Kluyveromyces lactis: one gene and its partners. The protein of the gene in region 2 purifies or fractionates together with the protein of the main gene of each other region. This does not show direct contact. Links are inferred from orthologs where the notes say so. Each region holds a gene or a part of one and is shown on either strand. Other genes may lie near its edges.

What was found. The genes of interacting proteins can lie anywhere in the genome.
Region 1: the proteins of ARX1 (region 2) and NMD3 purify together in Saccharomyces cerevisiae (affinity purification with western blotting; 28 studies listed by BioGRID, with this or other methods). This does not show direct contact. The link is inferred for Kluyveromyces lactis from reciprocal best matches to the Saccharomyces cerevisiae genes ARX1 and NMD3.
Region 3: the proteins of ARX1 (region 2) and NSA2 purify together in Saccharomyces cerevisiae (affinity purification with mass spectrometry; 12 studies listed by BioGRID, with this or other methods). This does not show direct contact. The link is inferred for Kluyveromyces lactis from reciprocal best matches to the Saccharomyces cerevisiae genes ARX1 and NSA2.
Region 4: the proteins of ARX1 (region 2) and RPF2 purify together in Saccharomyces cerevisiae (affinity purification with mass spectrometry; 9 studies listed by BioGRID). This does not show direct contact. The link is inferred for Kluyveromyces lactis from reciprocal best matches to the Saccharomyces cerevisiae genes ARX1 and RPF2.
Region 5: the proteins of ARX1 (region 2) and SQT1 purify together in Saccharomyces cerevisiae (affinity purification with western blotting, with the first as the bait; 3 studies listed by BioGRID). This does not show direct contact. The link is inferred for Kluyveromyces lactis from reciprocal best matches to the Saccharomyces cerevisiae genes ARX1 and SQT1.

Annotation. Positions count from the first base shown.
Region 1 is NC_006037.1:457,488-463,617, reverse strand, and holds NMD3 (ribosome-binding protein NMD3), read left to right. Parts: upstream 1-2,500; coding exon 2,501-4,045; downstream 4,046-6,130. Other genes in the region: ATP-dependent RNA helicase DBP8, read left to right, coding at 144-1,451; NOP19 (Nop19p), read left to right, coding at 1,652-2,245; ATG7 (Atg7p), read left to right, coding at 4,367-6,130. UniProt on the Saccharomyces cerevisiae protein: Acts as an adapter for the XPO1/CRM1-mediated export of the 60S ribosomal subunit. Unlikely to play a significant role in nonsense-mediated mRNA decay (NMD).
Region 2 is NC_006042.1:1,096,667-1,102,981, forward strand, and holds ARX1 (putative hydrolase), read right to left. Parts: upstream 3,756-6,315; coding exon 2,040-3,755; downstream 1-2,039. Other genes in the region: TMS1 (Tms1p), read left to right, coding at 1-372; recombinase DMC1, read right to left, coding at 499-1,488; PDA1 (pyruvate dehydrogenase (acetyl-transferring) subunit E1 alpha), read left to right, coding at 4,763-6,001. UniProt on the Saccharomyces cerevisiae protein: Probable metalloprotease involved in proper assembly of pre-ribosomal particles during the biogenesis of the 60S ribosomal subunit. Accompanies the pre-60S particles to the cytoplasm.
Region 3 is NC_006041.1:1,203,749-1,209,061, forward strand, and holds NSA2 (rRNA-processing protein NSA2), read right to left. Parts: upstream 2,872-5,313; coding exon 2,086-2,871; downstream 1-2,085. Other genes in the region: MPT5 (Mpt5p), read right to left, coding at 1-435; small subunit rRNA maturation protein LCP5, read left to right, coding at 3,099-4,286; VFA1 (Vfa1p), read left to right, coding at 4,580-5,197. UniProt on the Saccharomyces cerevisiae protein: Involved in the biogenesis of the 60S ribosomal subunit. May play a part in the quality control of pre-60S particles. Under normal, rapid growth conditions, high levels of NSA2 would allow the progression of pre-60S particles through the ITS2 processing.
Region 4 is NC_006037.1:703,600-709,408, reverse strand, and holds RPF2 (rRNA-binding ribosome biosynthesis protein RPF2), read right to left. Parts: upstream 3,121-5,809; coding exon 2,086-3,120; downstream 1-2,085. Other genes in the region: GTPase-activating protein GYP1, read right to left, coding at 1-138; MTD1 (methylenetetrahydrofolate dehydrogenase (NAD(+))), read left to right, coding at 968-1,948; NUP133 (Nup133p), read left to right, coding at 3,556-5,809. UniProt on the Saccharomyces cerevisiae protein: Required for biogenesis of the 60S ribosomal subunit.
Region 5 is NC_006040.1:1,331,667-1,337,511, forward strand, and holds SQT1 (Sqt1p), read left to right. Parts: upstream 1-2,464; coding exon 2,465-3,760; downstream 3,761-5,845. Other genes in the region: RCF3 (Rcf3p), read right to left, coding at 129-491; STS1 (Sts1p), read right to left, coding at 902-1,903; RIB5 (riboflavin synthase), read right to left, coding at 3,857-4,564; aspartyl protease BAR1, read right to left, coding at 5,061-5,845. UniProt on the Saccharomyces cerevisiae protein: May be involved in the late step of 60S ribosomal subunit assembly or modification in the cytoplasm.

The DNA.
Region 1 (6,130 bases), on a different chromosome or scaffold from region 2:
AAAACGGAAAGAGTCTTTAACATGTAAAATTTCTATACAGATGCGATGAGATGTGCTTTGACCTAAAGGCTGTGGTTAGTAGGAGTAACTTGTATATAAACCTCGCCAAGAGTACCTAAGAACTATAATATCTATATTAAGAGATGTCTAATTCTGAGTTCAAGTCCTTAGGATGTTCAAAATGGTTAGTGGAAGCATTAAATGCGATGAAAATCGTGCAGCCCACTGCGATTCAAAAGGCTTGTATTCCTGAGATTTTGAAAGGGCGTGACTGTATAGGTGGTGCCAACACCGGTAGTGGTAAGACTATTGCTTTTGCAGCTCCGATGTTGACCAAATGGTCCGAGGACCCTCAAGGTATGTTTGGGATCGTCTTAACACCTACCAGAGAACTTGCGATGCAGATCGCAGAGCAGTTCACAGCATTTGGAAGTGCTATGAACATCAGAGTCGCAATAGTAGTTGGTGGTGAGAGCATAGTGCAACAAGCTATCGAATTACAGAAACGACCACATTTCATAATAGCCACACCAGGTAGATTAGCACACCATGTCCTGAATAGCGGGGAAGATACCATTGGAGGGCTAAAAAGAGTAAAATTTCTGGTACTAGATGAAGCCGATATATTATTGACGGAAACGTTCAGTAAGGACCTTGCTACATGTGTAAGTATTTTACCACCGAAAAACAAAAGACAGAATCTCCTTTTCACTGCTACTATGACAGACCAAGTGAAAGCTTTATCAGACGCTCCACAGACGGAGGGCAAACCTCCTGTGTTTACTTTTGAGGTTGAGTCTGTTGATAACGTCGCCATTCCGAAGACATTAGAGACGACATATTTGCTAGTCCCAGAGCACGTTAAAGAGTCATACTTATACCAGATATTGACCAGTGAGAAATACGTCAAATCAAGTTGCATTATTTTCGTTAATCGTACCGTAACGGCTGAAATCTTAAGAAGAACTTTGAAATCTTTAGATGTAAGAGTCACGTCACTTCATAGTCAAATGCCACAACAAGAAAGAACGAACTCTGTACAAAGATTCAGGGCACAAGCTGCGAGAGTTCTTATCGCTACTGATGTCGCTTCTAGAGGTTTGGATATCCCTATTGTTGAACTTGTTGTAAACTATGATATTCCTGGCAACCCAGATACTTTCATTCATAGAGCTGGTCGTACAGCGCGTGCCGGACGCCATGGTGAATCACTATGTTTTGTAACAGAAAAGGATATTCAAAGAGTAGAGGCAATTGAGGAAAGGATTAATAAAAAGATGGAAGAGTTCACCGATGTAGGTGATACAGCCGTGATTAGGAAGTCGTTAACTAAGGTTACAGCAGCAAAAAGAGAAAGTCTCATGGCCATGGATAAAGAAGGTTTTGGTGAAAGAAGGAAACTCCAAAAGAGAAAGAATGAATCCAAAGAAAAGACTCATAGACGTACATAAACTCACATAGTTGATAGACCTATCCACATATTCCATTTAAAAATCAGTCACGTGAATTCTGATTCTTCCTTAGAGAGTAATCACTGAAAAAAAAATGGTAACTTATTCTTTGAAGCGATGAGATCGAACCAGATGAGATGCATCGGCCGCCATAAAGGTATACTCTTACAATCTAACAAGTAATACAGACTCACCAAGCCATGTCAAGAGCTCAGGAGATAAAAGAAAAGCAAGCACTACTTGCTAAATTTCAAAATGGGTTTAGCAGTTCCACTGCTAAGGTGCTCGGATGGATAGAGGATTCTAAGACGTCATCTAATGATCTAGCAAAGGAGGATAGCAACGAATCAAAGAAGGAATTTTTCCAGTTGCCTGTCATTCAAATAGGAAGCGGTTTATCATTTGAGAACGCGCAAAGTACTGATGATACCGATATACATACCATTGGAGAGTTCATCAAAAGTGATAAGAAGGTCAGCTCTTTAGCCAAAAAGAAAAGAGCTACCAAGGACGTGCAACAGAGAAACAGTATACACAGAGTGAGGAAAGACGACTCCCAGGCTATGGTTTCGTTAAAACATAAGATAAGGAATCAGGAAAGACAGAAGATACGTAACGAGCTTCCGAGAGGCACAAATGTTTCGAAAGACCACAGTAAAAACCAATATTATACCAAATCGACTTCATCGCATTCCGACTCTTCCTCGGATGAAGAAGATATGGAACCTAAAGTACAAAAACATTCCAAGAAACAATTTGGCTTGCTATTTGCTGGAAAGAAATCCAAACGTTGAACGTGTTAATCATTCTTTATAAAGTGTAATTCTCCTGTATATAGACTAGCTTAATATGCATAGATGCATAAATCCAAGGTTCAAAGTCACGTGCAAAATTTCTTTTTCTTGAGGGTTCGCAGTCTCTTTTAAGAAAAATTTTGAGAAAGCTCATCTCATCGCATCTTGTTCTTGCACAGTCTGATAGTGCTTGAAAGCTGATTAATGTCTGCATTATAGGTATTCCAGCAAGGGCAGAAGTATCCACCGAACTCGATGAATTACACTCCGTTAGATCAGAATCACATGCAACATCAGCATGCTACAGTGCTATGTTGCAGTTGTGGTGTGCCTATGGATGGGTCCTCAGGGCTAGTTATGTGTTACGACTGTATTAAGTTGAATGTCGATATTACAGAAGGTATTCCCAGAGAGGCTAATGTTTCTTTCTGTAGAAACTGTGAGAGGTTCTTGCAACCACCAAGCCAATGGATTAGGGCTTCTTTGGAATCTCGTGAACTTTTGGCGTTGTGTTTACGTCGTTTGAAAGGCTTAAACAAAGTTCGATTAGTGGATGCATCATTTATCTGGACCGAACCTCATTCTAGACGTATCCGGGTCAAATTGACCGTTCAAGGTGAAGCTATGGCTAACACTATTATCCAGCAAACATTTGAAGTGGAATATGTGGTGATTGCCATGCAATGTCCGGACTGTGCTAGATCTTATACCACTAATACATGGAGAGCAAACGTCCAAATTAGACAAAAAGTTCCTCATAAGAGAACTTTCTTGTATTTAGAACAGTTGATTTTGAAGCACAATGCCCATGTTGACACCATTTCCATTAGTGAGGCAAAGGATGGTTTAGATTTCTTCTATTCTCAAAAGAACCATGCTGCTAAGATGTTGGATTTCTTAAATGCTGTCGTACCTATCAAATGTAAAAAATCCGAGGAGTTAATCTCTCAAGATATCCATACCGGTTCATCTACTTACAAATTCACTTTTTCCGTGGAAATTGTTCCAATTTGTAGAGATGATTTGGTTGTTTTACCTAAGAAGCTTGCCAAGTCTTTGGGTAACATCAGTCAATTTGTCATCTGTTCCAAGGTTTCTAACTCTCTCCAGTTCCTGGATCCAACCACTCTTCAAACGTGTGATTTGACTGCTCCAATGTACTGGCGTGAACCTTTCAGTGCATTAGCTGAAGTGTCCCAACTAGTTGAATTCATCATATTGGACGTTGAACCTACTGGTCAAGTTAGAAACAAATGGGTATTGGCTGACGTTACTGTCGCTAGATCTTCCGATCTAGGCTCCAATGACCAAGTCTATTACGTTAGAACACATCTTGGTGGTATTATTCATCCTGGTGACAGTGTCATGGGTTACTTTATCGCTAACTCTAACTATAACTCAGAGCTCTTCGATGGTTTAAATATTGATTACGTGCCAGACATCGTTCTAATCAAGAAACTATATCAAAGAAAGACAAAGAAGAACAGAAAATGGAAGTTGAAGAGAATGGCTAAGGAACACAAGGATATCGAAGCTTCTCAAGACTACACTTCAAGACAACAGAAACAAGAAATGGAACGTGCTGAAAGAGATTATGAGATTTTCCTACAAGAATTGGAGGAAGATGAGGAAATGAGACAAACAATCAATCTATATAAGAGCAACAAACCAGCAGAGCACGAAGGCGAGATGGAAGAAGATGAAGATGAAGATGCTCCACAAATTGATATTGATGAACTATTAGATGAGTTGGATGAGATGACTTTAGAAGATCAACAACAAGGTGAAGAAATGCTATAGAATTTGGTTTAGTCTCTTCTTGTTTGGACAATAATTACAATATATATTTACGAGATAGGCAAGTTAGTTGAATTTACTCATCATCTGCATTAGATCAATGATACAATGGCCGTCTTGTATAGTGTACACTAGTGAATATTAATAATTGGCATGTTTCAGGGTAACAATGCTTTCCTGAGTTTAGTTCATTCTTGTAAAAAAGACGTCGATTCGTAATACTACCCTGATACACTATACCCTTAACTGCAGTGCATAGATAAATAAAGTAAACCAAGAAGTACTATTCTTTCTTCATGGAACAAAACCTGAGTACCAGGAAAGATGCTTAACGATCTTAAGTTTTCACCAGCTTTTAAGTCTTTTGTTGATACCTCGTTTTTCCATGAATTATCAAGATTAAAACTTGAAGTGTTCAAGTTAGACTCTGCTGAGAAAGAATTGTTCTCTGCACTAGACCTTGAAAATATCACTTCTAACACTGTTTCACTCTCGCTTAGAGATGACAGTTTCGATCCTGTTCTCAATAATGAGGCAGTGACTTTGAAAGGGTCAGTGTTGAATTTTAATACTATCGAATCATTCAAATCCTGTGACAAAGTAAAGTTTATCAAGGAAAAGGGACAGCAATTACTAGAACAGGGCCTCAAGAATGGTCTCAAAGAGTGTGTTAGGTTTTATGTCATAAGCTTCGCCGATTTGAAGAAATATAAGTTTTATTATTGGGTTTGTATGCCTACTTTCCAGTCTGAGGGGTCATCGTACGAAATAATCTCAACAAAATCAATCGAAGATGGTGTAAAGAAGGATATATGGGAGCAGAACAGCTTTATCTCCTGTGTTGTGGATGGAAAGATTCAGGAAGCATCACCTCAGTATCTCAAAGTATGTCAGAAAGTCATCTTCAAGGACTTCAGTCGGCTGAAGGGCATTCCTGCCGCAGTTACTAAGAACTTTCTAACGGTTTGGAGTCAAATATCCACAAGGAATACGTACACCATATGTTTCCTTCGTGATGATAATTCCAGCTTCGCGGCAGAGATCAGAGTTACCGGGAGCAATACAGGATGTCTTAAGGTCAGCGGTTGGGAGAAAAATGGTCTTGGAAAATTAGCTCCGAAATCGGCTGACTTAAGCTCATTGATGGATCCCGTGAAGATAGCAGAACAATCCATTGATCTCAATCTCAAGCTAATGAAATGGAGGATTGCTCCTGACATTGATCTAGAAAGAATAAAGAACATTAAAGCATTGATCTTGGGGTCAGGTACCCTAGGTTGCTACGTGGCTAGAGCTTTATTAGCTTGGGGTACTCGTCATGTAACTTTTGTCGACAACAGCACTGTCTCTTTCTCTAATCCGGTAAGGCAACCATTATTCAACTTTGAAGATTGTGGGCGACCAAAGGCCGAAGCTGCCAGTGACTCTCTGAAGAAGATATTTCCTTCTGTCGTTTCTGCAGGTTATCAATTGGAAATACCAATGATAGGACATCCTGTATCGAACGAAAGCAAGCAGAGGAAGGATTATGAAATTTTGGACGAGCTTATAAGGACGCATGATGTTATATTTCTTTTAATGGATGCACGCGAGACGAGATGGCTTCCCTCGGTGCTTGGACGAATGCATGAAAAAATAGTTATTAATGCGGCCCTTGGTTTTGACAGTTATTTGGTAATGAGACATGGCAACAATAATGACAACCTGGGTTGCTATTTCTGTAACGATATCGTGGCCCCAAGTGATTCTCTAACTGACAGAACATTAGATCAGATGTGTACTGTAACTAGACCGGGTGTTGCCCTATTAGCGGCTTCCCAGGCTGTTGAATTATTGGTGACATATCTTCAGCCTTCGACGAACGTGCTTGGGTCAGCTCCGCATCAAATACGAGGATTTCTAAATGAATTTAAAACTGTAAAACTTGAAACACCGGCATATCAGCACTGTTGTGCAAGCAATGAAAATGTCATTTTAACTCTAAAGGAAAACGGATGGAATTTCGTGAAACAGGCGCTAGATGATTATAAGTGTGTGGAGCAATTAAGTGGACTGTCGAAGGTGCAAGAGGAGGCTGAATTGGCAATT
Region 2 (6,315 bases):
AGGTTGCAAGCGATCAAACAAGCAGTTGAGGAGGGTGCTTTGCCCCAATCCGCCTTGCTTGATTATGAAGCTGAGCAGCAAAGAATGCATGTCAATGATTCTGGTAGGGAAGATGGTGATGATGATGAATTCAATGTAACAAAATACAATTACTCGTTGTTTCATTTCATTTTCTTTTTAGCTACGCAATGGATTGTGATCCTATTGACTATAAATGTTACACAAGATGATGTTGGAGATTTTATTCCTGTTGGCAGGACATACTTTTATTCATGGGTTAAAATCATAAGTGCTTGGATTTGTTATGGTTTATACGGCTGGACCTTATTCGCACCCATTGTCATGCCAGAAAGATTTGAATATGACTATTAGAAAACACCTATCGAAGTGGTAAGGGAAATGGATGTGTGTCACTTGTTTATAGAGTTGTACTATTCTGTTCGTAAAAACGTTCTATCGATAGAAAGTATGTCTTTCTTACGAGCCACCCATAGTGGCTTATTCATCAGAATCCATTATTCCACGCTCACCAATGACATAAACGCACTCCTTTTCCGGCATATCAGGCGAATCTTGTAATTTCGCGACCCTTTCGTCACCTCTACCTTTTCTCAATAATATTCTTGTCGCACTTGCATGGGCTAAGACATGTCCTCCGACAGGTTTCCTACCATCGGCACTAGCAAACAAGGCAGAAGCACCGGGATCACTTTGAACTTGGTTGGTCATGAAAACTGCGATATTGTTCTCCTCAGCGATACGATTCAATCTAGAAAGATGTTGGTTTAGTTTTTGCTGACGCTCGTTCAATTCCCCACGGCCTGAATAATCAACTCTGAAATTGGCCATAATTGAGTCTACTATTAATAGTCTATATTCTCCTGAAGAGAGTTCCTCGCCAAGCTGTTCAAGTAACTCCATCTGATGCTCACTATTGAGTGCCCTGGCGTACGAGATATTTTCAAGGCACACTTCGGGATCCAAATCATACCCTTGTGCTATCTGCTTGATTCTTTCTGGTCTGAAAGTACCCTCTGTATCAATATATGCAACCTTACCCTCAGGTCCATTTAGTTCTTTTGGTAATTGAGCTGTCACGCATAACGTATGGGATAATTGAGTCTTACCGCACCTAAACTCCCCAAACACCTCAGTTATGGACATTGTCATTATTCCTCCTCCTAGTACAGAATCGAATTGTTTCGACCCGGTAGAGATAGACATAACTGCTTGACGAATCTGCCATTGCAGAGTTGCTGGAATAAAGCCAATGGTGATGATTTTATTGGCAGCTTCTTTAATCTTTTCTACCTTCACTTCCGATAACCCTCTAACTTTACACAAATTCCTTCTGGTCGTCGACAAACAAGTGTTAACGGTAAATATACCAGCAGTCTTCAATTTAGTTATATCAGACGCGTTAATTCCGAAGTTTTGTAACTCATCAATATTGACCACATTGGTTTTAGTTTCTGTCTCTGTAGACATGACAGCTTAAATAGAAATGGAATGGGACGTTTCAAGTAGAATGAAATGCAAAGTTATTGGTTTTTAGGATCACCTTCTCGCTCCTAGTTATGTGCACTAGATATCTCGCTATGTCATATTCATTGGTAGTTGGGTTTGTTGATTTGGTTTCTGACTCCAAATCCTTTTTATACTAAAATCTAATTAGCCGCCATCATTTTGAACGTTTTGATAATCCTTCCGAAGCAAACACACTAATAGTAGAAGAACTAATGACAAAGTTGAGAGCTTGAGTTCTATTATGATTTTGCTAGTGTACAGATCTACAAGATACTTAGAAGTTGCTATTTATACATTGTTTTTGTTGCAATTGGTTGGTAAGAATAAAGACTCATAAGAACAAGACTCTTGGGCTACCGAAATCAAACGAGTATTGAATATAATATGAACTGGTGTATCAATGTAGAGTTATTGTGTGCAGATGCGAAAAGGGTGTTTGTGTATGAAATAGAATTTGTTATCTGTTGAAGTAGTTCTATCAAAGAAGGTAGTTAATACTGGTAATGAATAAATTAGAATTTCATTTTCCATGGTTGAGTTTCTCTGATCTTCAAACCAAATCTCTTATCCTCGGACAATTGAGCCAGTTTGAATATACCTGCAACGATATTGCTTGCAGTATCCATAGAGTAAACAGAATGAACCCAGTTAGATTTTAGGTTTCCGCTGATTCTTAGCAACTCTTCATCACAGATGGCTACAGTGACACATTGACGGACCACAGGAACTGGCGTAGAGTGTTTTTTTAGCAAGGATTTCAACTGTAGGTTGGACAAACCTAGTTTAGGTAGAGGAAGCTCGAAACCTGGGTATAAACCTTTATTCTTTGCCATGGCGTCATAACTTGACACACCGGATGGGTTTGTTAGATCCAAGATCTTAGCCCAAGGAACGTGTTTTACGATGGTGACATCTCTGTCGATTGTTAGGTAGTTGTTAGAAATTTCAGAAAGACCTAATCTGAATGGCTTGATTTCTTGCTTGATGGTTTCGAAATCAGGCTCCTGTACGTCCAATGGGAAAGAATCAGCGATATGAGCTAATTTGGTAGGGTATACACCTTGTTTATCCAATCTGGTCAACACTTGTCTAGCAGCTCTTAACTTTAGAACATGGCTCTTTGAAAAATCACGGCAGATGGCACCTGGTCTAGCCACCACATCAGAGGATTCAGATTTACCGGAGAATTGATCGACAGTGTGTAAAGTGATCAAACCTGGCTCCAATCCTTGCAATGGAGCCAACTTCAAATCGATCATGTAAACTTCACCCTTGACAACGGTAAAATCATCTGTTGGGACCACGGTATCTTCGGTGATAAATGGGTTCTTACGCTTGACATCAACAGCAGTTTCATTGACGGTTCTAGCAAGCATAGCAGCTTCCTGATGAGACTCAGTCCAAATGACACCTTTGAAGTCTCTTTCGACAATGATATTTTCGTTTTGACCAGAAAGGAATCTTTTGATTCTTCTGATACGAGAACCAGGCACAACGCAACAATTATAAGATTGAGCAATGGTGTCAACTACGGTCCTAATCAAGGAACCAGTGACCTTCGTAGCGTTGAAATCAGCTGGAAGTTTGGTCAAATCGTTTGCAGCAGCTAATAAGTTAGTGACGGACTCAACAGCGATATGGGTGGCAGCTAGAGCATCAGCTTTACCACCTAGCAAAGCAGCTTCAGGTAGCAATTTTCCAGATTGGGCATCCTGAACGGTTGGGTAAATGACCACGGTGTGGGACACGTTACAAGTGTACCCATCGATGTGACAACCCAAAGTGATCTTAGCGACATCACCAACTTTCAAAAACCCAGACAAACTAGAAGTAACACCGTTACATAGCTCGATCGATTTGGTAGATCTAGATTTTTGGTTCCAACGGGACAAGTTTTCGATGTCATCCACTTCAGGACACCAGTTCTCGTTTATTTCATCGATATCAATACAAGTTGGCATTGAGATTCCCTTCTCGTTAACCTTATTGTTGAACTTAGTACTTAAACAATCGGCTATGAACGAATCAGTCAATAAACAAAGTTGATGAATCGGTAGCGGCTCCATAGACTTCTCATGATACATCTTATTGATCAAACTGATCAAAAAGTTTAAAGCAGTCTGAGCAATTTGACCTGCAGTTCTATATTTCTCAATTGTTGGTTCGATCAATACATTCTTATCTTTCAATAACACCTGAGTGTCTTCCTTTGAGATTTGTAACGCCATAGTACGGATAATTTTATCCACAAATTATTAGTATTAGCTGTTTTCTGATACAAAGGAGGGAACGATACACTATGATAATGATGTAAGTATGTACCTCGTTTCTCTTTACCTCATCTCATCTCATCGCTTTAAAGTTTTCACTGATACTTTTTTTTTCCAAATTTCTTTCCTGGATACAACCTTTCCTGCCACACAGCACTAAGATATTTCAAAAAATTTTCCAAAATATTACCCGGACCTCGATCAGAAGAGAATGAAAAAGAAATCACTTTCTGATCACGTGCGCCAAAAGTATTAATATTCGGGTAATGTGTATCATTAGAACTCATGACCCGCATATTATCCGGGTAATAGATCTGCTGCCCATGTTCCACCCAAACACCGCGCTGTGCACGTCACTTTTCCCACTCTTTCTAACAACAATCCCGTCTGTCTAATTGAATCAGCACAATAAACTCTACCTACACCAGACGAAACTGTCAGATATCCCATAATAAGTAGAATATCAATACTCTCCGCATCATCAGCTACCCAACGGTTCAAGTTTGACCCCAATTAGAGCAAAATTGACCTTGCTTATACCCACTTCTTGTTATTTCAAGTCCCTTATCTATACCGACTGGCTGGCTACGAAATTTTTTGAAGTTTTTTTCCCAAGTTCACAAGTATTTAAAGGCGGATTTAATTGTGAATATGATGAGAAACAGTTGTTGCGTGATTAAGAACCTTTTTTTGGTCTTTCAGTGATACTGAGCCAAGCAATTGATTAATTGACTGACTGATTGATTGATTGATTGATTTTTGTCAAATTTTTTGGAACAAGGAATCGTTCATTAGTTGGCTTTTTTTTGTTTTAATATAGAATCAGGAACTCAGAGCTTCTTCTTCTTTATTTCTTCTCTATACAACATATTTTGCCATCACTACTGCTGAGTGTGTATTTGTGTGTTCTAATTGTTGGTCGCTATAGTAGTTAATACCGAAAAGAACAATAAATTAGGCAAACCATGCTATCTTTGAAAGCTCAATCCTCTGTGGTTGGGAAGTCCAGCTCTTTGAGATTGGTTAGAAACTTTTCTAAAAACGTCCGTGCTTTGTCCCAGGTTGCTGATGAAACTAAGCCAGGTGATGATGACCTAGTTCAAATTGATTTGCCAGAAACCTCTTTTGAAGGTTATCTTTTGGATGTTCCTGAATTAAGTTATCAAACCACCAAGTCCAATTTGCTACAAATGTACAAGGATATGATTATCGTTAGAAGAATGGAAATGGCCTGTGACGCTTTGTACAAGGCTAAGAAAATTAGAGGTTTCTGTCACTCCTCTGTCGGTCAAGAAGCCATTGCCGTTGGTATTGAAAACGCTATCACTAAGCGTGATACCGTCATCACCTCTTACAGATGTCATGGTTTCACCTACATGAGAGGTGCTGCTGTTCAAGCTGTGTTGGCTGAATTGATGGGTAGAAGAACTGGTGTGTCCTTCGGTAAGGGTGGTTCCATGCACTTGTACGCCCCTGGTTTCTACGGTGGTAATGGTATCGTTGGTGCCCAAGTCCCATTGGGTGCTGGTTTGGCCTTCGCTCATCAATACAAACACGAAGATGCTTGTTCTTTTGCCTTGTACGGTGATGGTGCCTCTAACCAAGGTCAAGTTTTCGAATCCTTCAACATGGCCAAGTTATGGAACTTACCAGCCGTCTTCTGTTGTGAAAACAACAAGTACGGTATGGGTACCGCTGCCGCAAGATCTTCAGCCATGACTGAATACTTCAAGCGTGGTCAATACATTCCTGGTTTGAAGGTTAACGGTATGGATATCTTGGCTGTTTACCAAGCTTCCAAGTTCGCTAAGGACTGGACTGTCTCCGGTAACGGTCCAATCGTTCTTGAATACGAAACTTACAGATATGGTGGTCACTCTATGTCTGATCCAGGTACTACTTACAGAACCAGAGATGAAATCCAACACATGAGATCTAAGAACGATCCAATTGCAGGTTTAAAGATGCACTTATTGGAATTGGGTATCGCCACGGAAGATGAAATTAAGGCTTACGACAAGGCTGCTAGAAAGTACGTCGATGAGCAAGTCGAATTAGCTGATGCTGCCCCAGCTCCAGAAGCTAAGATGTCCATCTTGTTCGAGGATGTCTACGTTCCAGGTTCTGAAACTCCAACCCTAAGAGGTAGATTGCAAGAAGATACTTGGGATTTTGCTAAGAAGAGCTTTGCTTTCAGAGATTAGAGCAAGAACGAATTAGGTAATTGAACGTTAAAGTTAACTTCTTTGCGTTTATCCTTTTTTTTATTCCCATCTCTCTACTCTTCCCTTTTCGAAAGACAACTATATTCCTATAAACTGCCCTTTCACAATATTATGCTATAAGGTTCACAAGATGATACTATTTGTATAGTGCATCTGCTATTTTCCACCAATCAATATTAAAGTACCAAAATCATAAAAAAACACCTTTTAGATACAAGTGTTTTTTATTCATTTCATTCACGGTATGGTTTCTATTCAGATAACTGTTTTTTTCGGTTTTAAAACATGAATGT
Region 3 (5,313 bases), on a different chromosome or scaffold from region 2:
CGATCCAGTATTACCACCACTTGACGACACTGTATTCCCGCGTGCGCCAGTCCCACGAGATGTACTAGTGGAACCATTTGGTGAAGAAGCAGTTGAAGTCAATGACGTTAAATCAGCAGCTGCAGAACCTCCCGGAGGTAAGATGGATTCGAATTCATTGATCAAGGGCAACGATTTCATACGATTTTTCGCATTGGCAGAACTAGACGCAGCCGTTGACACGGATGTCGTGGCAGAAATCGTACTCAGCGGTGACATTGTATTGACATTCAGAGGAGAAGTGTTGGAAATGAATTGGTTGAATCCAGACAAATCCAAAGAATGTGTTCTTTGATGGTTATTCTTAGAGTTCATCTGGCCCAACGGCGGAGTCACTGGCTCAATGACAGATTGAACAGAGTTAACTGACAGTTGGGGTTGATGATGGAATTGCATTATCCACTAGTTATGTCTCGACTCCGGCTTCCCCTAAATACTTGAATCTTTGATTCTATTATAAGATCTTCTTCAGGAAAGAATAGCTTTCAAAGGTTAATCACCAGACGAAAACAGGGACTTGGAGAGAAAAAAAAAAAAGCACAGTTTAGTCTAAACACAATCTGTTAGTATCTCAGCTGAATAGTATCCTCTTGTTCCCTCTACTCTTTTCTTTGAATGAAACCAAATTTAGTTCGCAGCTGATCTGGTACCAGATCTGGAAGCAAACAAATATAAAACAAGCGAAAGTATAAAAAGCCCACAAATCAGAAACTGATCTTTTGTCTAGCGTACCCTAAAACTCATAGGTCTGTTGTATACACCAGGAAAACCTCAAACAATTGTTCCAGTAACACGCTCTTCTTACAATGCAAACTCTCTGTGATTCTTGATTCTCTCTATTCTTATACGATTCTGATTCTTCCATACTATTCGAGGGATAATGAAAAATAATACTCAAGAAATACGTAGACGCCCGCGTAGGAAATATCTGCTTTCCTATTGCCCTGCCTAGCCAGACCGGGGGCGCCGCCCGCGGTCTAGGCAGATCAGATGAGCGTAGACAGGAATTTGAGAAAAATGATTCAGGGAAAACCAGGGTTGCTCACGTGCCGGACAATCTGTCTGGACAGACATTTTTCACGATCGAAATAGCTGTTAGGCAGAGAAGTCCACCGTGGCCAGGATTATTGTCCGGCACTTCTAAATCAGGACGAGAATGTGAATCAAAAAGAGGGTTGGATTGAGCGAAGAGGCTGGATCAAAGGTACTGTAGTCACCTGCAACAGTTCTAATATGAGAATCTGTATAGTGCTACTTTCAGTATCACTATAACAGTAATTTAAACGAGACTCAAGTTGGATCATTAATTGGCAAAAGCTTTCTGTAGATGCAGAACAGGGGGAAAGAAGGTAAAGGTTAATGGGTAAAGGGGCTGTCCGTTAGGACAAATTTCAATACATACTGGTGGGGTTTGGAAAAAGCACTGATTGCTTACGGATCAGTTTCTGTGGTGAAAACTAGAACGTAGATCCAGAAATCAATTTGATCTGGGGAACTACTTCGTTTCCAGTGGGATCAATGATGTTCTTTTCCTGAACAACGTCGACGCTAGTATCTGTATATGGACCAGTGCTAGAATCTGACCTAATAAGTGCTGTTTTGAAGGTAAGTTTGTGTATATCAAGCGCAAAGAATGTGTATGTATAATACTGAATATATATATATATATAGATAAAATTATTTGGTATGATTTGGTAGGGTAGTACCCTACTTTATTGTGAAACAATAAAGATGAATACTTAGGGTAACCTGAGGGTCCAGAAGGTCAATTGACACGACGTGTGAGTAGCAATTAGTTCAATGCATTGGAATAGCTGGTATCTCAACGGCAGCGAGGCATGAAATTGTCAGTCTCATTGGCTATAATTCAGTATTTAACGCTAAATATATGATTAAATAATGATGATTTAGCCAGTACTTTCTAATAAGGGAACTCAGTTCTAAAATGAAATAGTAATATACAATAACGTAGCGGAGTGGGGGGTGATGCAATAGGGAATAATTGAGATGAGTAGGAATTTTGGTAGTAATAGGTTGTACTTGTTCTTACACAAGTAGCACAGCGTTGACACAACCGTCTCTATCTGGCTCATTCGTGATTTGAGCATATTTACCCCAAACCACTTTACCACCAGAAGTAACCATACCTAATTCCGAGACGTTCACTTCAATAATAGTACCCTTGGTTAATACACCCAACTGTGTGTACATTGGCGATTGAGGATTCTTCTTCACCGCAAGAATTGGCAAGAAAACGGTGACTCCAAGTTCCGGATGCGTCACATTAGCCTTCTTTTGTCTCAAAGCACTAGGTCTGATAATCCTTTCCATCTTCACAGGCCTTCTTGTAAACCCTTCACCAACAAACGTATGTTTCGTGATCATTCTCTTCCATGCCTTAGACTTAGACTTACCTGTCTTAACAACTTTGAACATCTCTTCCTCACTGATACCTCTGACCTTAGGCAAAGGAACAGAAAACTTGTCAGCCTTCTCCAAACGCTTCTGCTTGATGGAACTGGATATAGCCTTTGCAGTGTTGTTCTGTTCTCTGTCTAACAAATAAGTAGGCAAAGCCTCCCCGTTCTCATCCAACGGTTTGGACCCTCCTTTAACTTTACTCTGCTCATGAGCACGGATCTTCTTCTTCATAGCAACCTTCTCAGCATAACGCTTCTTAGCAAATTGCTTACCCTTCCAACCAGTCAATTTCTGAGCCTTTTCAGAGATCTTATGAGCCTCACGGGCTTCTCTCTTACGTTTTCTCTCATCGTGGTCTAATCTACGACCATGTTGCTTGATGTGCTGTTCGATATATTCGTTTTGAGGCATCTTTGTTTTATTGTAAGAACGACTTGTTCGGTGATGACTTACTTCTAAATCACAAACGGACACACGGACTCCTTGAATGGACTTCTTACCACATGTTAACCCATGCGATGAGCTAGTTGTTCAAGTTGTCTTTGTATGCTTTTCTCATTGAAAGAAAAAAATTCAATAGGAAATGTCGAAAAGAAACGTAGTGAAAAAAAAAATTTGGAATCAAGCGATGAGATGAGATGAGATGGGTATCAGCCAGATACAAGTTTGGTTGTCTGGTGTGGGTTTGGCATAGGTTCGATCTACTGTTATTGATGTATAAAACCTCATTACATTCTATTGACAAGGGTTACAGCGGAAATATAGCCATGTCTGAGGAGTTAGGAACTGTTTTGAAAACGATTAGAGATTCTTTGAAATCTTGTGGAGAAAGCTTGGATAAGTTAGAAGAAGTCTATGATGATGAGGAGACCCATCCTTTCCAAGGTTCAGCGGTGGTAGGTCACAAAGGTGATAAATTAGAAAAAGTTTCTCTACTTTCTTTGAAGAATGGGAGTATGCTATCGTATTTGAATTCGCTTCTGTTGGTATTGGGACAGAAATTGAATAAAGAGATGGTTGTTGATGAGGGTAGAGTCAGGGCAGTGGAACAACGAGTTGTTCTTGAAAGAGGTGTGAAGCCCTTGGAGAAGAAGTTAGGGTACCAGCTGGATAAATTGACGCGGGCGTACATTAGACTGGAGAAAGACGTTGAAGAATCCAAGAAAAGAGCCGAATTGCAGGGACTGAGTGACGTACGTGCTTCCCAGGAAGAAGTATCAGACTCAGATTCTGATAGTGAAGAAGAGATGCAATATAGGCCGAACAGTTCAGGAATGGTCAATAACACATCAGTTGGAGGGAAAGCCAAGGGGAAAATCGCTGTCAAGAGTACTCACAATGAAGAAGATGTGGATGATAAAGATAACGTTTATAGACCACCTAAGATCAGTGCCGTTCTGCCACCAAAGCAACATCACTTCGAGGATAAATTCAACGCACAAGAACATAAGGATAAGAGTAGCAGGTCTCGTATGCAAGCTATGGAAGAATACTTGAAGGATTCCTCGGAACAACCGGAATGGGAAACTTCTATCGGTGCCAATATCGTCAACCATGGTAGAGGTGGTGTGAAGACAGCAAGAGATACAGAACGTGAACGTGATGTTCAAAGATTCGAAGAAGAAAATTTCACTAGATTGAACCCCAACGGATCCAAGACTGACAAGAGAATGAAAAAACAAAGAGAAATCATGGCCAAGGTTAATATGATCGCCGGTGAAGATTTCAGTATCTTCAACTCCAAGCGTAAGTTGGAGGATAGTACAAGCAGAAGAGGTAATAAGAAATCTAGAAATGCTTGGGAAAGAGCCAAGAAGAAGTTGTAAACCTGAGGTCCTTCTTTTTCTATGTATAAATAGGCTAAAATATCCATACGTCTCTATTGTCATCATATAGTGTCAAATACGTAGTTTATAAATCGAATGATAACGGTGTTGCACTGCTCAAACTCTAGCTTTGATGTGGTTTGTTTCGTTTCGTTTTGTCTCGTTTTCTTCATATCAAGGTGTAATCACCAATAATTAATTAATACAATCTAAGCGTTCCAACTTTGCAAGATATAATCACCACCTATCACCCCTACTAATCTCCTACCAGCGTACAACTTCCAGCGCCCCTGATGAAGAACGAATACACCAGAAAGAAAGTCTCAGCAAAGGATAGGAAAGCATGTCTGATATGTGGTAACCCTACAGTCACAGTTTTGTTCAATGGAAGCGGACCTGATTGGTTTTATACATGCGATATACATCTAGTTGATAACCCGCAGTTTGTACAGCCTCTATACCCAAAAGAGTATCACGAGTCTCTGGTTAGTCTTAAGCCACTCAAAGAACGCATAGAGGAGCTACAAAGGAAAGAGCGAGGTACCTGGGATCAATGGGTTAATAAGATCTTTGACTCTAAAAAGCCATCATCATCTGATGATAAGAAAGAGGACAGGGATGACGCGAGTTCTGACGACAAGAAGAAGACCGATGAAGCAAACTCACTTGAAGAATTGCAGCAAACGTACCAAGCGACACTTGATAAGCTAGCTGCATCAAGAGAGACGTGCAATAGATACACTCTACACGACCTAGTATTCCAATCAAGAGTCGACAGACTACGGAAACTGGCTCAATTAAAGGAAAAGAAACGTGTAGAGCAACAATCATACACCAACACCGACCCCAATCAACTATTACAATCGTTTTCGTTTCCTGAAGTCCCCAAGAACACCGTTAACAAGTCATGAGAGGACGGCCTAATATGCCTACCTCTTATGTCTTTTGTGCAATTCTATATCACGTGATTGATATCACGTCAAAAAGAAATTTCTGATCTTTTCAACTTTTCAATGAAAAGCTTTAA
Region 4 (5,809 bases), on a different chromosome or scaffold from region 2:
TGAATCCGTAGATTTCTTCCATGATTTTAGCAACGATCCAACAATATTAGGTGATGATGAAGTATTCGAATTAGACCTTTGAAACATCTCCCTAGGAGATTGATCTATCCTACTACTAGACGAAGAACGGATAGCCATTGGCAAGCAAAACAATGGGAAAAAAAAACAGATAGAAAAGAAAATATAAAGACTCTACCCTATTACACTTGGAAAAAATGCCCTCTATTTCTTCTTTAAACTATGATCAGGGCCTAAGACACCTTGTTATACTTATCTAGTGAATGATCTCCCTAAAATACACCAACAAATGTATGAAATGTCACCCAATTTTTTACCAGAAAATTTATACGATATGCCTTGATTAATGACAATACTAGACATCCATATAACCTAACTGTGTCATACAAGTAAACCCTATGTAGCGCTCCAATTTCCTTTCCATTTCCTTTTGACTTTCCTCTTCCTTAGCTTTGCATGCTTCGAATCCAATATATCCTATAAACGGTGATTCCATCGAAATTCCAAAACATCCATTACCCGGATATAAAATAGATAACGTGACTATCACATGCCCTGATTTTAAATCACGTGATTGAAATTCCTTTTTTTTATATTGTTCCAATCATTTTTTTTTTGACTCTGATTGACAGTTACTATAGGGCGCTCATTCGAGCCATTGGAATATCAATTATTATTATCACTTAATTATGATAGAATGAGATGAGATGAGTAGATTTAGATGAAAGATAGATATACCATATATACATATATATATAAAAACGTATATTTGAATCTGTATTAGATCGGTTCTGGTTTAAGAGTGTACAAATACTGAATCAATCACTACATATCAGGATATTTCATTCGAGAACCGACATTATTTATTTTTGTCAACTCATATTTTAAGGTACAAACAGACAAACCACATCTACCCCCTCTCACCCGCCGCAAAGCAGTTAAAATTACCATGTCTACAGAAAAGCCAGGCCGTACCATATTAGCGTCTTCTATTTCTAAAACTTACGTTCAAGAAATTACTGGAAAGGTGGAAAGTCTCAGGAATATTAGACCAGATGGTCCGTTATTAGTTGGGTTTTTGGCCAATAATGATCCAGCTGCAGAGATGTACGCTTCCTGGACTCAAAAGACTTGCGAGTCTATGGGGTTCCGTTACGAGTTGAGAAGAATTGAAGATAGAGACTTCTTGGAAGAAGCTATCATCGATGCTAACCAAGATGATTCCGTTGATGGTATCATGATCTATTTCCCTGTGTTCGGAAACGCACAAGATCAGTATTTGCAACAAGTGGTATCAAGGGAAAAAGATGTAGAAGGGTTGAATCACGTTTATTATCAGAATATGTACCATAACATTAGATATTTGGATGATCAGAAACAGTTGAAATCGATACTACCATGCACTCCATTAGCTGTAGTGAAAATCTTGGAGTATTTGAAAGTTTATAACAATTTGTTACCAGAAGGGAACAGACTCTATGGGAAGAAATGTGTTGTAGTGAATAGATCTGAAATTGTTGGTAGACCTCTAGCTGCTCTGTTAGCAAATGATGGTGCTGATGTGTTTTCTGTTGATATCAACAACATTCAGAAGTTCACACGTGGGCAAGGTTTGAAGTTTACGAAACATCATGTAGAAGACTTGGGTGCATATTCAGAGGAGCTATTGAAGGAATGCTGTAAAGATGCTGACGTGATAATAACAGGTGTTCCTGGTGAAAAATACAAGTTCCCTACTGATTACATTAAAGAAGGCGCTATCTGTATCAATTTTTCCTCAGAGAAGAATTTCGATGAGTCTGTGAAATCAAAAGCATCGCTATACGTTCCAAGCACCGGTAAAGTAACCATCTCCATGCTGTTGAGAAACATGCTCAGATTAGTAGAGAACAAACAAAAATTGCAAAACCGTTCAGCCTCCACGAATTAAGGCAGTGGATCGATCAAAAAAAAAAAAAGAATTATACTCTATTTCACCTTTATCTCATATATATGCGAATGTGTATGTATATGATTAGATATGTATATGAATTATATTATACAGTCAGTTTTTATTGTCAATGGAATTTATTTCTTTTGCTTCTTAGCAGGTGGAGCATCGATATCTGTTGCCGTTACGAATTCTTCACCGTAAGTGTCATCGACATTTTCTTGATCAAGATCGCCTTCAACTTCTTCTAGGTACTCTTCCATATCCGAATCCACTTGATCGTATTTAGCCTTCAAACCCTTCATCTTTCTAGTTTGCAATTGACCCAAATCTTGCTTACCCACATGCACTCTACCGATCTTATCACCCATAGTATCGATCTCAACGTTCTTAGCAACTCTGACTTCCAATTGTCTAGGTTTCTTATGGGCTTCCTTGACCATTTCTGGAGATGGAGTGTGAATTCTTCCGATCTTGAAATCGAATCTTGGACCAATCTCTTCCAATTCCACTCTAGGTAACTTCTTACCACCTTGTTCGGACTTGTAAGTCTTCAAGTGATACACTCTGAATAGAACATTTGGTAATGGTTCACCGTCTTGGAAATCACCTTGGACAGTGATAGAAATGATATGTTGCAAACCTGCAACATCTTGCAAAGTGGTATTCTGACCTCTGAAAAAGTCAAGGAACAATGATTTGATATGCTGGTAAACTGGATGTTGTTCAAAGGCTGCACCTTGGAAACTGAACATTGGCTTTAACCCAACGTTAAAAGTTTGTTTTCTGAAATCAGACAAAAGTTTATAGTTTTCTGCAATCTGCAACTCGATAATATCATAGATCTTATACCCAAACGTACGAATAAAAGTCAAATTGTTTCTTCTCTTCTTAGAATGTGTGCTCAACACCATAAGCGATGTATCATTCTTTTCAGATAAAAACTCTAATGGTTCATAATCTTCAAAAGGTCTGATGTTGTTCTTCTTGGAGAATCTCTTGATATCAGGCTTCTTCAACGCACTCAAATCAACCATTGAATCATGCAACAACTTGGTAGAAGTTTGACCAGGAATGAATAAAGCTTGCTTTACATTCTCAACCAATTTTGCTTCTTTTTTATCCAAAGCCCTTTTAGCACGGGCATTCTTAGGCTTTACTGTTCTGATCATCCTGGTGTTTACGGTGTCTTGATACAAATCACAACAATTACACCTTATAGGATAGAAATCTGAGCCAAAAGATGAACTATGTAGACTGTAACTTAGCTCATCGCATTTAGCTCATCGCATCGATTTGTTCCAGTTTAAAGATTTAATTTTCCAAGTTACTTGATAAGTGAAAAGAAACTATTCCAAAGTCACGTGGCGGAAAATGTTTCACGTGACATCACTTATGACGATTTCTTTGGCGACAATGAAAACAGAAACATTGACCAAGATTTTAAACAATGAGCATCAGAGAGTCTATTTACCTTTATAATTACAGCAATGCAAGGTCAAGCTAGGTTCGGCTAACAAGGTAGTGGATCAATTGAGATTAGAATTTCAAAGTTTTACATTTGGTGATTCTTTTGGCTTTTTTTTTCAGTGTCAAGATAGTACAAGATGAAGCAATTGTTTCAGCTCAGGAAAGAGCTTAGTGTACCAGCAGCAGCACCAGAGGATTCAGTAATCTCTGCTGAGGAAACGACAACTGGTTCTGCTGTCACCAATGTACAATTTTCGAATGAACAAGTTATCACAGAGAATGGGAAGTATAAGGTATCGAAGTTAGCGCCAAGTTTAAGTTTTTTGCCCAGTAATGTGGAATTATGTTGTAGCGTTGATGCAAAATCTGGGTACGCCTTATGCTGCGATACTGATAATGTTTACGTTTGGCCATTTTTATCTTCTGAAACACACCCTAGTTTTGTAAGGATTCCATTACATGACGAGGAATATGAATCATGGTCCCGTCCTCCATTATGTTGCTTTACGTGGCCTAGTGTGCTCGAACGTGACTTGAAATCAAGCCCTGGCTTATTTTTAGTGAACAGTAGATCCGGTGACATTCAATTCTATGAAGATGTTGATACTGTGAGTCAAGTGGCAAGTTTCTTGACGCAAACCAAACGTCATAAATCAGTTTTAAAACTACGTGACGGTGAATATGTAGAGAATTTGATTAATGCAGAACCAGCTGGAATATTACTTTCGACAAATTACGGGCGTGTTGAGTTTTGTACTATAAGAGATGCTAACGGGAAACCTTTTGTATCGCTAAAACAAACCATAATAAAATGTCAAGTCGGAATCTTTTCATCCATGTCCAAATCAAAGAGAGTGGTATCTCTCAAATTGGGCGAAATCAGCGGTAAAGGAGAAAGAATAGTTTCTATTTTAACCCAGGGCGGGCGATATCAGGTGTGGAACCTTTCATCTGTTGGGAATTGTTACAAAAAGATCGATTTAAATGTACAGTCTGAAATTTCACAGGCAGTCTTAGAGCATTTCCCCTTGGCAACATCTACACTGAAACTACTCGATTGTCATCCTTTATCAGGAGACTCGGATGCATACTTGTTCTTGAGTTTCTTAGCGGAAAGTAACGAAACGCACTATTTACTATCAACCATCATTGTGGATGAAGATACTAACAGTTTCGCTATCTTCTCTACTTACAGATTAAACACATACACGCGACCATTATCAGATGAATTTGCCCCAAGACTTATAGTCCCAACTGCATACACCAAGGAACATTTACCGATAACGTCTGTTTACACTTTATTCTCTGATGCTGCTGTCCTAACTCAAACAAGTTCCAAATTGGACTCTAATTATCCATTTAAAAGGAAATGGGAGGACATTATACGGTTTAACAAAGATATGAAAGTTCTTGGGTACGATTGTAATTCAAGTTCCTTATACATTACTGATGGAAGAACATGTGCGTTAAAGTTGGAGACTTTTGAAAAATACGAAAACTCTGACTTCCAAGAAATTAGATTCATAAAGTCTCATGTGGATCAATACGTCTATTTTGGAGGACAATCAACGGATTCATTACTAGACTTCAACTTACCTGACAATCTAGATCTACAACCACAAGAAATTGAAACAGATATTCAAATGTCCAGTGATGAGATTAAATATGCATTATCAAACCACATACCGCCTGTTGCTAACAACCCCATGAAACACTTAAAAATAAGAAGCGAACTTTTTGAAAGACTTCTCACATTTGTTGCTCATAATTTTTTGGATCAAACATCTTCCCAATTCAAACTGGACTTGATTTCTGATTTTGAAATGATAAAATGTTTGGAAAGCTTGTACTCTTTACTACCGCAACAACCAACATCTATTTCACAAGCTTGGAAGACAGTACTATCAGAAAGTTCCTATCAATCGGATTCTGATTTTATCTCAGACGGCATTGTTAAGATTCCAGAATTATTGGGCGCCTTTTTGAAGCATTTGAAAGACCTAATGAAATCCACAAATGAAACTATGTTAAAATCTCAGATCGCAAAGCTTATAAATCAACTAGTTTATCATTCCATATTAGAAGAATGTGAAAACAGCTACAGGTATGGACTTTTCCAGATGAGCCCAGATGATGTATCAAAAAATATCCCTTGGTTCACAACAAATAGCATAATAGAAAATCTTAATGACATCTTCTTCTTGTTAAGGCATGCCTCTGAAGATCTTGCCGTTGTGTCAGAATTTGTAGAGGAATTACTGCTATTGGTTAAGTCTCTATTTTATATGGTCAGGCAAATAACCATGTGGATTGATGCAAATGCCATTACTGATTCTAGTTATAAACAGTTTTTCGAAGAAAATCATTTACTTTGGAATAGGGTCCTTAGGG
Region 5 (5,845 bases), on a different chromosome or scaffold from region 2:
CATAGTCTTTTTCCATTTGTGTAACCATATATTATTTAAACAACGTCTGGAATGTTATCCTGCTGTTAAGGCAAAAGTATTTACAAGGGAATGGGTAAAGTAAAGAAGAAACCCAATGATGGGGCTTTTCACTTCTTATCCAAAACACTCATCGAAGCGGCTTCTTCTTCTAAGAAAATACCTCTCTCAGCAGCCTCATCTAGTATCTTTTCTCTTCTCTTCATCTCTTCTGCATAGTATCTGTCTTGGAATTTGATCAATTGCTTATCAGCATTGAAAACTATCCCCATAGAGATCCAAGAACAGTGATAGAACACACGAACCTGGGTCCGCACGTTCCTGTACGTGGTAGAAAACTTCCTTAGTAATAACGCCGTTACTAACCCAATGGCTGCACCTTTCAAAGCACCAATACCAGACGCAATAGCTATCTCTTTGGTTAATTGTTTCACTGTGCTTGGATCATAATGAACAGGTTGAACGTTTCCCATAACGGATGAATTTATCTATAATTTACGATACGTATAACGGCAGCCACGTAAAATTTAAGCTCAAACAGATATGACTTGTCCTGAGGTGCCAGCTGTCCTAATTTTGCCATTCTTTTTTCCATCTCTGCTTTCGAATGTGTAAAAGGGAAGCTTTATCAAAGCGATAAATGCATCAGTTTTAAATAAAGAGTATGGCATGACATATGAAGTTAGAGAGAAAGGGAACAGAGGAACAGGGTGAGTGATGCAAGTTTTGTATTAGAGAGCTATATATGTATAGACAAGGATATATAGATGGCCATTATGATGTTTCAAAATATCTTCCTTTTTTGGTCTGTTTGTGGGCGTTTTCTTTATATATAATGATGATTCTATGATGAGGGTGGGTTCAGCTGTCACATTTGTCCCCGTCAGCTGCTAATGTTTAAGAACCCAACAGTGGACGGTTGTGTTTGAGACAGCGGGTGACCGTTTCTGTCCTGTGACATCATAGCGGCCGAGTTCTTGATAGTCCCTATCAGTTCCAATGGTTTCTGTAGTCTATTGTTCGATCTTCCATTCAACGTATGCAATACAGACTCCCAATCTTCTAAGTTGGAAACCACGGACATAAAGGATAAATCTGTGGATGCGAATTGTATACAACTGCACCAAATCTCAGATATTTGTTCAAAACACATATTCTTGTAGTAATTATTCGAAGCTGTCTCGAAATCAGGCAATTGGTTCAAAAAATCTGTAGAACAGTTCAAGAACTTCAATGATTGTAACACACTATCCGATTGTGGAGGGATGCTAGACAATAGGAAATCGATGACACAGTTTAAAAATTCCATGATTGAAGCCTTCATACGGCCAAAAGCATAATCGTTTAACAAACCATCCGAGCTTTGATTATACTTGGAATACGGAATATCCTCATACACCTGAGTCAATTTCTCCTTCAATACCTTGACGTACTGTTCCTTGTTGAAACTTATAGATTGTACCTTGGAAAACAGCGAATGCTGAATCTCTGGATGTTCCCTTACCAACGAAAGTAAGACAGACTGCAGTAACTGTTTATCCATCAATTCTACAGATCTCGGGAACGGAAGTGGCTGTCCTTGGATATAGTTCCGGTACACCGGTTTCTTTTTACTGACCCGTTGCACAACTTGAGACACAGGCCCATTCATCGAAACGTCTTCTTCTGTGTAACGTCTCTTGATTCTAGGCTTTGAAATACGACGTGAAGACGTTCCATGCGTAAGTCTATGCTGACTACTCTGAATATGACCATGAGCGCGCTCATGGTCGTTACTGATGTCATTGCTCTCAGTAGAGCTCGTCTGTTCTTGACCCATGTTCAAATTCTCACCAGAAGAAACACTGGGGCGAAATCCCCATTCAAACCCAACACTCTGGCTCATTGCAGTAGCTTAAAATCCTATACTGTATTGTGTTATTGAGACGCTTATTCCAGCACCAGTATCAAACCCTCTGGATAATGGATAACCTGGTTTCGTTGGGTAGTTTCCTTTATGCATTTGTGCAAAACTGATACAGAATGTTATAGATAGAATATGGAATTTGAACCAGTTTCCATAAGGCACTAAATCGTATATGGTGACAAAATTACTCAAGATTATCCGAAACTTGGTCATTAGAGCACCAAACCGGTTACTTGGAAGGCGTATTACTGTCCAATAATGATCGAAGGATAGCTATATGGTATCTGAACAGTACAAGCTGACTATAATAGTCCAATTAGACCATATTTGCACATTTGCGTTTCTTTTACGTCCTTTTCTTTCTCTTTAAGCACTGAAAAATTTCAGTTTAAAGCTCATCTCATCTCATCACTTGAAGATGACTTACTAATGCAAAGTGTATTGAAAGTTCATATCTGTTTGTTTCTGGCTTAGTTAAAGGATCGGAATACCACTGTTAATCCACAGCTCACGGAGAATTATAGTTGTTTACTGATTAACATGGACAACACCGAATTGAATACAGCGGACAATGTTCCTGAAGAAGAGTTCATTGCAGATGAGGAAGTTGGTGAAGAAGTTGTCTTAGATAACGTTGAACCTAGTGAGAATATTGGTGATGATGACGATAATGATCAAGAGATGGGCGGTTTAGATGGTGCTGAGACCCTTGAGATCGATATGTCTAATAATTCAAGTGGATTTTTCGATAAGCATACTGATTCTATATTTTGCATTGCACACCACCCTACTTTGCCCCTAGTGATGACCGGTGGTGCAGACAACGTAGCGAACTTGTGGACTTCTCATTCGAAACCTCCTAAGTTTGCTGGATCCTTAGAACATACTGAGTCTGTGATTTCTGGTGGGTTCACACCTGATGGGAAGTTTTTAATCACTGCAGATATGAACGGTAAGGTATTTATTCATAAGTCTGTGAAGGGCGGTGCTCAATGGAAACGTTGTAGCGAGTTAGAAGAAGTGGAAGAAGTTGTGTGGTTAAAAGTACATCCAACGGTATCGGGTGTTTTTGCATTCGGTGGTGTTGACGGATCGGTATGGTGCTATCAGTTGAACAACGTGGATGGGTCGTTGTCTCAGATCATGTCCGGTTTCTCTCATCAACAGGACTGTACCATGGGTGAGTTCATTAATGTAGAAGAAGGTGAGAACAATTTGACTTTGGTCACTTGTTCTTTGGACAGCTCAATTGTCGCTTGGAACTGTTACATGGGTCAGCCTTTGTTCAAGATTACTCAAGCCGATATTAAAGGTTTAGAAGCTCCTTGGGTCTCATTGTCTGCAGCTCCAGCTTCCCTAACGAATAACACTGCAGTCATTGCTGCAGGGTCAAATAATGGGCTGTTGGCCATTATCAACTGTAGCAACGGATCTGTACTACATTTGACCACAGTAATAGAATTAAAACCAGAACAAGATGAACTTGATGCATCGATAGAATCCATCACTTGGTCTAGCAAGCTGCCTCTAATGGCAATCGGTTTGGTTTGTGGCGACGCACTATTATACGATACAAAAACTTGGAGAGTGAGGCATAAGTTCCAACTTGAGGACTCTGCCACCAAATTACAATTCGACACTATCAACGGTCACAATTTAATTGCTTCTTGCATCAATGGTAAAGTATACATATTCGACGCCAGAACAGGCCAAGAAGTACACGTTTGTGTTGGACACAACATGGGTGTGCTTGATTTTGTCGTCATTGAGAACGGGTCCAAGCTAATCACTGCCGGTGATGAGGGTGTATCATTAATTTTCGACCTGCCACAATGAAATGTGGGTAGGATTATACTAGGAAGGGATCTTTCATCATAAACTTTTCCGATATATATTTTATTTACATCAATGTCGTATATATTCTCATCCCAATCATTTGTTTAAGGCATTTCTAACCTTTTCTTCGACAATCTTACCAATCAGTTGACTCAAAGAAGATTTCGAATCGGCAATTTGCGCTTGTAGATGCACTTCAATCTGCTTTTCGATAACTTTACCTGTAACATCAACTTCGACATTAACCAGATCGCCCACCTGTTTCAACGGCATGATAACGTGTTCTTGAGTGTGCTTTATCATTGCGATGTAAAAAGTCCCATCGTCGTCAATTGTAGTAACAGTTAGGGAAGTACCATCCAACGAGATGAACCCTTTCTCAACGATAAACTTCTCATAAGATTGTTCCCCCAGTTTGAATCCAAACACTATGGAGTTACCATCAACGGTGCGTGATTTGATAGTGGCTACTGTATCGACATGGCCTTGAACGTAATGCCCACCAAAACGGACATCCTGAGACACAGCTCTTTCGAGGTTAACCTTGGTTCCAGTCTTCCAACTGCTGATATCGGTTCTACTAACAGTTTCTGGTGAAATACCAACTTTGAACGAATTAGAATCGAATTCAGTCACTGTTAAACATATACCATTGCATGCAATGGAATCTCCGATATGACAATCACTCAAAACTGGGGCCGCATCTTTAATGGTCACCGAAACACCATTACCACCACTAAGAGTTTCGTCCAACTCTTTGTACTCAGCAACAGTACCAATATGTTCTACAATACCAGTAAACATTCTTGCGGTTATACTCGGCTATGTTTTGGTAAGTCTCTTCCTTGCCAACATAGGTTTCCTCGAGATGTACTTTCTACTCAGACATGAGATTTCTCATTTAGTCATACAGCCTGAAAATGTGAAAGAAATGAGGTGAAGAGAAGGCAGAGCATGGAGGGAACAGGAAGGCAATGAGAGGACCAGGAGTGATGCCTTCAGAGGTGTTCAAGGGCACCCAGATAAAATGGTATAATGAAGCGTTTGTATTGTATTTTTAAAAGTGTTTTTCTACTGAACTACATATTGATTTTAAACGTCCATTGAGTGTCAGTGATTCATTCTTTATATAGTCAAATGCCGTTACCATGAAGCTAAACTGTGGGAATAAAGGTTCAGATAAGCAGAGTTTGATCCGTGATATTCATGCAAGAAGCTCTTAAGCCTTAACGTAGGCAAACGGTCGTTTGTGCTATTGCGTCAGTTTTTTTCACCATTATCCAGCACTGACCGGAGAAGGTCATAGGAGAGAATGGAAGAGTACTAACAATGCGCAAAGCAGATAGGATGGTCTTAAACTAGAAGAACCAGAGTTTTCAAGCATAATTAGATTGTCATGTATATTGATTAAGACTTCTCTTTTATTTCCTTTTTTCTTTGCCGGACATGTCTTAGAGGGTGATTTTTGACATTTCTTAGGTAAAGGCTTATCAAATACAGAGTCTGTACTTGAGTTGGTACTGCCAGACAGACTCCAGGGGGTAGAATTTGATTTTCTAGTTTGAGGCAGAGAGCCTGTTGCACTTACTGTTTGTATTCTTGACCCGCTCGTGGTTTTTACCTGGGCAATAGAGATCTCCAAGTTATCAAGGTCATATACTACATATGCGCTTTTCAAAACAAGATCCCCCAGGATCCACTCTTCGCCACTCGCAATTATTGCCAACCCACAATAATTCTGACCGGATTCAGGTAGATATAAGAGGTCATGTATTGGCACTTTCAGTTTCAATTCACCGAAATCGAAATAAAATGTGCGATCATCATTGGATGCTGGGCAATCTAACACATACAACCCGTCGCTTTCCGAGAATGCAGCGCCCAGTTCTTGGGCAATACTTTCTAGTGCCTCTTGAGGAGCTCCCATGATTGTACTACCAGAATCAAGTAGTGCTGGGGCCTTTTTATGCGCGATGACAGTATCTTTACAATTCGATTCACTTCTTATTCCAAGTCCTTGTAAAGTGATATCAAAAGCAGCGGGTTCATCAATCTGTTCATATATATTGACTAATGGCAAAGTAT